Anolis sagrei: one gene and its partner. The main gene of each other region encodes a partner of the protein of the gene in region 2 in a complex. Links are inferred from orthologs where the notes say so. Each region holds a gene or a part of one and is shown on either strand. Other genes may lie near its edges. The genes, in order: GATC and QRSL1.

The links.
Region 1: QRSL1 (region 2) and GATC share a complex: the UniProt entries of both Homo sapiens proteins name them as parts of the heterotrimeric GatCAB amidotransferase (AdT) complex. The link is inferred for Anolis sagrei from reciprocal best matches to the Homo sapiens genes QRSL1 and GATC.

Annotation. Positions count from the first base shown.
Region 1 is NC_090034.1:46,653,747-46,657,660, forward strand, and holds the start of GATC (glutamyl-tRNA(Gln) amidotransferase subunit C, mitochondrial), read right to left. Parts: upstream 2,723-3,914; 5' UTR 2,590-2,722; coding exon 2,518-2,589; intron 1-2,517. Other genes in the region: TRIAP1 (TP53-regulated inhibitor of apoptosis 1), read left to right, coding at 2,736-2,896. UniProt on the Homo sapiens protein: Allows the formation of correctly charged Gln-tRNA(Gln) through the transamidation of misacylated Glu-tRNA(Gln) in the mitochondria. The reaction takes place in the presence of glutamine and ATP through an activated gamma-phospho-Glu-tRNA(Gln).
Region 2 is NC_090021.1:95,337,926-95,341,839, reverse strand, and holds the start of QRSL1 (glutamyl-tRNA(Gln) amidotransferase subunit A, mitochondrial), read left to right. Parts: upstream 1-963; 5' UTR 964-1,064; coding exon 1,065-1,088; intron 1,089-3,914. Other genes in the region: RTN4IP1 (reticulon-4-interacting protein 1, mitochondrial), read right to left, coding at 98-380. UniProt on the Homo sapiens protein: Allows the formation of correctly charged Gln-tRNA(Gln) through the transamidation of misacylated Glu-tRNA(Gln) in the mitochondria. The reaction takes place in the presence of glutamine and ATP through an activated gamma-phospho-Glu-tRNA(Gln).

The DNA of each region.
Region 1 (3,914 bases), on a different chromosome or scaffold from region 2:
TGGAGAACAATCATAATCATTACGATGCTTATTTGTTTATTGGAGATTATGAGTACGCTACACAACAAAATTCTGTTCCTGGTTTGAAAGTGCTATTTCCTGCTTAATTGTGTGGTTTTTACTTTGAAAGTAGTTGTTCTACACCTGAAACCTCCTTTTTGTGTCTGCCAAAAACGAGGTTGAATTGGTTGAGACTCTTATCAGATATTCACTGAACAACAATTGCAAAATGTGCTGAAGGATGTCTTGCACAAACAAAGTTTTGGCAGTGCAATAAACTTTTCCCATGTTTTTATGATAGAACCAATTAGGAAATGACTGCTAACTTAGGAACAAAAGCTGTTACATAGTTAATCATAATCATTACTATTATGTTTATTTATATCCCACTTTTTCTCACTATATGGAGACTCAGACCCCTTCCACAAAGCTGACTAAAATCCTACATTATCTGCTTTGAACTGGAATACTTCGCAGTGTGGACTCAACCTAATTCAAAGCAGATCTTGTGGGATTTTCTGCCTTGATATTCTGGCTTCTATGGCTGTGTGGAAGGGCCCTCAAAGCGGCTCACAACTAAAGCATTGCAATACAACTTTTATTATAATAGCTATTTATAAATAAATATATTTTGTCCTGGGCCCAGTCCTCCTATTCAATATCTTTATAAATGACTTAGATTAAGGGTTAGAAGGTATGATCATCAAGTTTGCAGATGACACCAAATTAGCAGGGATAGCCAATACCCCAGAAGAATTCAAAACAATCTGAACAGATTAGAGAGATGATGGGCCAAAACGAACAAAAAGAAGTTCAACAGTAACCAAGCTACTCCACTTAGGCAGAAAAAATGAAGTGCAAAGAGACTGAATGGAGGATGCGTGGCACGACAGCAGTACATGTGAAAAAGATCGTGGAGTCCTTGTTGACAACAAGTTAAACATGAGCCAACAATGTCATGTGGCGGCGAAAAATGCCAATGGGTTTTAGGTCTGCATAAATAGGAGTCTAGTGCCTAGATCCAGGGAAGTCATGCTACCCCTCTATTCTGCCTTGGTCAGATCACACCTGGAATCACACTGTGTCTAATTGTGGGCACTGCAATTAAAGGGAAATGTTGACAAGCTGGAATGTGTCCAGAGGAGGGCAACTCAAAGGATCAAGGGTCCGAAGAACAAGCCCTACAAGGAGTGGCTTAAAGAGCTGGGCATGTTTAGCCAGAAGAAGAGAAGGCTGAGAGGAGATATGATGAGGGCCATGGATAAAGATGTGAGGGGAAGTCATAGGGAGGAGGAAGCATGTTTGTTTTCGGCTGCCCTGGAGACTAGGATGCACTGGCTTCAAACTACAGGAAAGAAGATTCCACCTGAACATTAAGAAGAACTCCCTAACAGTGACAGCTGTTCAGCAGTGGAACTCTCTGCTTTGGAGTGTGGTGGAGGCTCCTTCTTTGAAGGCTTTTAAACAGAGGTTGGATGGCCATCTATTGGGGGTGTTTTGAATGTGATTTTCCTGCTTCTTGGCAGGGGGTTGGACTGGATGACCCACGAGGTCTCTTCTAACTCAAGGATTCTATGTTTCTATCAAATCTATTACAATATATTCAATGCTAAAAATCTTAACAGTAGCTACATCTGTATGGTCTTAATAAAAGCTTGCTTACAGGTACATTACCATTGTAGGAGGAAATAGTTTAGTTGCGGTTAAGCCTAAGACATATCAAGATGGAATTTAGTAGGTTGCTTTGCATGGTAGTCTGGTCCTACTTTTTGGACTATATAGAGTTATGCCAAATGTCAGCATTAATTGCATCCAAATAAGAACACACAAATTATATATAATAGGAGATTATCCGTGTTTTATGCCAGTGCAGTGTGAAATCATCTTTGTGTGCGACACACACACACATCTAGATATGGAGCAAGAACAGTTGACCATTTATCATCACAGAGGATCTAAATTGAGACCAGATGTCTTTCTGAAAAGCACTCTGGAGTCCAATATATGTTATAGGGCTCAATAATATCTGCCCCATGGTAGGAAAAGAACTTCCTAACTGTGAGAGCTGTTCAGCAGTGGAACTCTCTGCCCCAGAGTGTGGTGGAGGCTCCTTTGGAGGCTTTTAAACAGGTTGGATCGCCATGTTCGGTGGGGGCTTTCAATGTGATTTTCCTGCTTCTTGGCAGAATAGGGTTGGACTGGATGGCCCACGAGGTCTCTTCCAACTCTAGGATTCTATTTATATTCAAAGCGGCCTTAGTATACAATTGTAAATATACAAATAATATATATTACTCCATTTGTTTGTTTGTTGGAGAGAATGATGATAGGAGTGTTAGCACCATTTATGCCTCAATCCCCTGCTTGCCTCTCTAGATAGAGACCCAACCTTTAAAGCCATTCAAAGCCTACGAAGTAGACATGCTAAAAAAGAAGCTGCGGCTTGAGCTGGGGTGAGGAAGCCCTTTGCGGCGCTCTGCACGCGCTCAGAGGCACCCTGGCCAAGCCAGTTCTTACGCTTCCCGGCCGAGGAGGGACCCAAGTGCCAAAAGCCGCTCTCAAGACCCAAGAGGCGCTTGCGATCCTCATGCTGAAGCTCCAGCGCCGCTTCCTGGCTCGACTTCCTGTTCCGGGGGCCAGACAGGAAGTGACGGTCTATCCCTGCGCCATGGTCTTGCTCGAGAGGGAGGGGGCGCTGCTGCTTCTGCTGTTTGTCTTCCTTTGGCTCCGCCGCCATGAACAGCGTGGGCGAGGCTTGCACGGAGCTGAAACGGGACTACGACCAGTGCTTCAACCGCTGGTTCGCCGAGAAGTTCCTGAAGGGCGAAGGCGGCGGCGGCGGAGGAGGAGGAGGAGGCGAGAGCGGCGGGGAGCCCTGCCTCCAGCTCTTCAAGCGGTACCAGCTCTGCGTCCAGGCAAGAGGGCCCCGGGGCATGCGCAGAGGGCGGGCGGGCAGGCGGGCTATCCTGCGGCTGCCTAGGAGTCCTTTGGAGTCCCCTTCTCCGGAGGCTTTGAAGCGTTGGCTGGCCATCTCCCATAGTGTCTCCCTACCGAACATCCTGGGGTTGGGCTGGATGACCCTTTGGGAGTCCCAAAAGGACTAGTGCCTCACCATACTCCCAGGATTCGATACCATTCCAGTGGTGACATCAATTTCACAGTGTGGAGATGCACCCGCAGTTTCTCTGGGATCATACAATCATAGAATTAGAAAAGACCCCATGGGTCATCTAGTCCAACCCCCTGCCATGCAGGAAAAGCACAATCAAAGCACACCCGACAGATGCCCATCCAGCCACTGTTTCAAAGCCTCTGAGGAAGGAGCGTCCACCACACTCTGAGGCAGACAGTTCTGTCGTTGAGCACCTCTTCTTACAGTCTTCATAATCATAGAATCATAGAATTGGAAGAGACCTCATGGGCCATCCAGTCCAACCCCCTACCAAGAAGCAGGAAAATTGAATTCAAAACACCCCTGACAGATGGCCATCCAGCCTCTGTTTAAAAGCTTCCAAAGAAGGAGCCTCCACCACACTCCGGGGCAGAGAGAGAGTTCCACTGCTGAACGGCTCTCACAGTCAGGAAGTTCTTCCTCATGTTCAGATGGAATCTTCTTTCTTGTAGTTTGAAGCCATTGTTCCTTGTCCTAATCTCCAGGGCAGCAGAAAACAAGCTTGCTCCCTCCTCCCTATGACTTCCTCTTGCGTATTTATACATGGCTATCATGTCTCCTCTCAGCCTTCTCTTCTTCAGGCTAAACATGCTCAGGTCTTTAAGCCGCTCCTCATAGGGCTTGTTCAGGTGGAATCTCCTTTCCTGTCATTTTTACTTCCTAGTCTCAGTTTCAAGGGGAGCAGAAAACATGACGCCCTTTCCCATATTGATATATGGCTCTCATGCCCCCTCTCTTTTCT
Region 2 (3,914 bases):
GATCATGCCATATTTTTGTGTATATCTTCACGATGCTAGATTGTACATATTTTTGTGTATATCTTCACGATGCTAGATTATGTATGGAAGCACTTACTTCTCATGCTAAGGTCTATAGGGTTTAAGCTCGCTGCGTGGACTTTAATAATAACTTCGTTCGGGAAGTGTATGATGGGGAACATCATGTTGCTGGTGAAGCGGAGGGCATCATTCTTCCCGTACCGGTCGATCACCCAGGAGGGCATCGTGGTCCAACGTGGGCAGGAGGCGTGCAGGCATCGGCCCAGAGGCTGCGGGCAAGGGCCTGCTCCCCTTCCAGGGAGAGAGGCCAAGCAACCAGGCCTGGCCCAAAACAGGCTGAACACTTTCCTGGGCAACATGGTGAAGGCGAAGGGGAGAGATTAAGCTGCTTTAGCAACCCAGAAGTTCGTGAAGGCAGCTCAAAGGCACCCTTTCCCACAAATCTGAACTGAATCGTGATATCTCAAGATGATAACTTCTAGCTTTGCTCCTTTTCCTTCAAGTGAGCATCTCTCACATTATTTCCATTTATCAAAATGTAAAATAGACCTAGGAAGACAGAGAAGGAAGCAGTTGTTGCCTTCCAGTTGAATTTACTTCAATTCGTTGGGTTTTCCAAGAAAGGAGATTTCTGAGGTTCACAGAAAGTAAAGCTCGGTGGGTTTTGAGGGGGGAAGAAGGGCGGCTCCTTCCCTTCAGATTATGTCACCCACAGGCCCTATTTTCCCGAAATGCATTGCCTGGCACCCCCGCCCTCCCCATGAGGTAAAACTTGCAGCCTCCAGACACGGAACTCTCTCTCCCCTAAGTCTCCTTCAGACAAACTCCCTTTCTCAGTTCCACGAGAGGGACGGTCTGCCACCGGGGCCAATAACAACACGGCAACATTCCCTTCCTACAAGACTTGAGCCAATCAGCGGCGCTGATGTTAGCATGCGGCTTCAAGATGGCGGCGCCCATGAGCCTGTTCGGTCACTACCGGGAGGCAGGGACGGGTGCCGAATAGGGCTTCGCGGAACGTTCCGCCCGGCTCCGCGAGGAAGATGCTGCGCGCTTCGATCCGAGAGGTGAGGGAGGACACGCCGGGTGGGATTGGCTCTTTTCCCTCCGGTGGGCGGGGCAAGAGATTGACTCCTCACTTTCATTGGCGGGAGCACCTTTCAGTCTCTTGCTTGGCAACCTGGCCACCTAAGGGCCTTTCCACACAACCATATAACTGATAATGCATAATATCTGCTTTGAACTGGTTAATTGAGGGCCCTTCCACACAGCCATATATCCCAGACTATCAAGGCAGAAAATCCCACAATATCTGCTTTGAACTGGGTTATATGAGTCCACACTGGCATATAACGCAGTTCAAAGCAGAAAATGTGGGATTTTATCCAAGGCCTAATTGGGTTTTGGCCTCATCTGTGCTGCAGGTACATGAAGGAAGAGGCATTCCTGCCTGGCAGAATGGGGTTGGACTGGATGACCTTTGGGGTCCCTTCCAGCTCAATGGTTCATGTGGCTACACCAATGGCTACACTGGGAGAAGCTTCACCTGTTGTAATTCTGCTTGTCAGGAAGCTGCTCTTGCTACAGTGAAAACTGGAGGCTGCTCCTGGGTCCCTGAAATGGTGCCTCCAGTTTTCACTCTGGTAATCATAGGGCCCTTCCAGACAGGCCCTCTAGCCCAGGATCAGATCCCAGGTTTTCTGTTTATCCCAGACTCATATAATCCAGTTTAAAGGAGAAAACCTGGGATCAAATCCTAGGAAATAGGGCCTGTCTGGAAGGGCCCATAGCTACCTGACCAGCAGGAACACAACAGGTGAAGCTTCTGCCAGGAACACTTCCTGAAATTCCCTCTTTTTCATTGCTGTTGTTGTGTGCCTTTAAGTTCTTAAGGTGACCTTATTTCTGAGGCAGAGAGTGACTTGCCCAAGGTTCCTCAAAGAGTTTCCATGGCCAAGCAGGGAGTTAAACCATGTTCCCTAGAGTTGTAGTCCTGTGCTCAAACCACTATGCCTTGCCCGCTCTCTTCTGAACAGATGTTAAAGGTACAAGAGCAGCCTTCAGTTTTCACTGTGGTGACCCTTCCTATCATTGTTAGACATGCTATAGCCCACCTGCTCACACACCAGCAGAAAGAGGCTGTATCTACATTGTAGGATGAATGCAGTTTGACACCACTTTAACTGCCATGGCTCAATGTTATGGGAGTATAGGAGCTGCAGTTTAGTAAGGCACCAGAACTATTGGGCAGAGAAGGTGAAATGCCTTGCAAAACTGCAACACTCCTGTTTCCATAGCATTGAGCTTGGAACGTATCTCCCTCTACAAACCATCTAGGACCTTAAGATCATCTGTGGAGGCCTTGCTCTCAGTCTCACCGCCATCGCAGTCCTGTTCGGTGGGGATGAGAGACAGGGCCTTCTCCGTGGTGGCCCCTCGGCTGTGGAACTCCCTCCCTAATGAGGTTAGATCTGCCCCCTCCCTTCTGACCTTCCAGACAAAACTTAAATGCTGGTTATAGGATCAAGAGTTCACAGACTAGTTGTTTTACTGGGAAGACAAGAATTTATTGGGCTGTTTTGGATGACAATTTAAATATGGAAATTGTAATCTGGCGAGCTAGTTCTAATGTGTATTTTTTAACTATTTAATGTATGGATGTATTTATTATGTGTTATATCATGCTTGGCATTGAATTGTTGGAGTGTTTGCCTGTGCCTTCAAGTCACCTGTCAATATATGAATTCCTTAAGGGTTTCTTATAGAATACTCAGAGGCTCCTTCCTTGGAAATACAGCCTGCAGCCCTTTGTGTTCCTTGACAGACGTGACCCTGCTTAGCTTCCAAGGCCAGATAGGATTTGGTGCCTTGTAAGTTATTTGGACCTGGATGGGGGCACTTAAAGTCCTTGGAGTAATACAACAAAATCAAGTACAGCTATGCCATGTGACAAGGATGCTTTTGATTTTATTTATATTCCAGTCTTCTACCAAAACAGTCAAACTCAGTCATTGCAATTCAGAGACAGCTTTTGTAATGGGATTTTTAAAGAAGAAAAGCTGTTGTTGGTGGTGTGCTCCTTCAAGTAATTTATGAGTTATGGCAACCCTGAGATGAACCTACCAGGGGGTTTTCTTGGCAAGATTTGTAGGGAGGGTATTGCTTTTGCCTTCCTATGAAGCTGAGAGTGTGTGACTTGCAGGGTCACCTAATGGGTTTCTGTAGCCAAGTCGGGATTCAAACTCCAGTTTCCAGAGTTGCAGTCTAACAAGCCAACTTCTATAGCATGCCAGCTCCCACCTGTGATGTGCAGCACTGCAATTATGTCTGCATTTATTTAAGAAGTAGTGTCATTGAGCTTAGTAGAATTTACTTCTGGTTAGATAAATACAGATCTGTGTTCCCAGGTGAGCATTCTTGAGCATTGGCACACCATGTCCTCAAACATCTGTGTTTAGCTTTCCCCATCCTTCTCTTGTCACCCCACTGCCAAAAGTGCCTCCATAATGGAACATCCACTCCAACAGATGCAGGATATCAGGTTAGACAGCCCTTGATTACAGTCTCTCTCAGCATCTCTTCAGCAAGAGGTACTCTTAGGCCCCTTCCACGCGGCTGTATAAAATCCACCTTGAACTGGATTATATGGCAGTGTGGACTCAGATAACCCAGCTCAAAGTAGATAGTGTGGATTATCTGCCTTGATATTCTGGATTATATATCTGTGTGGAGGGGCCCTTAGCAAAACCTCCTGAGAAGACTTCAGGACCAAGGAAAGCAGGTCTTCTACATCCTTTTACACTGTCATTTCAGACTATTCTGTGTTTGAAATAAAGTGATGATCCCCATTTAACTATTGCATGCCTATTGAATATAATCCTTGTATATTCACT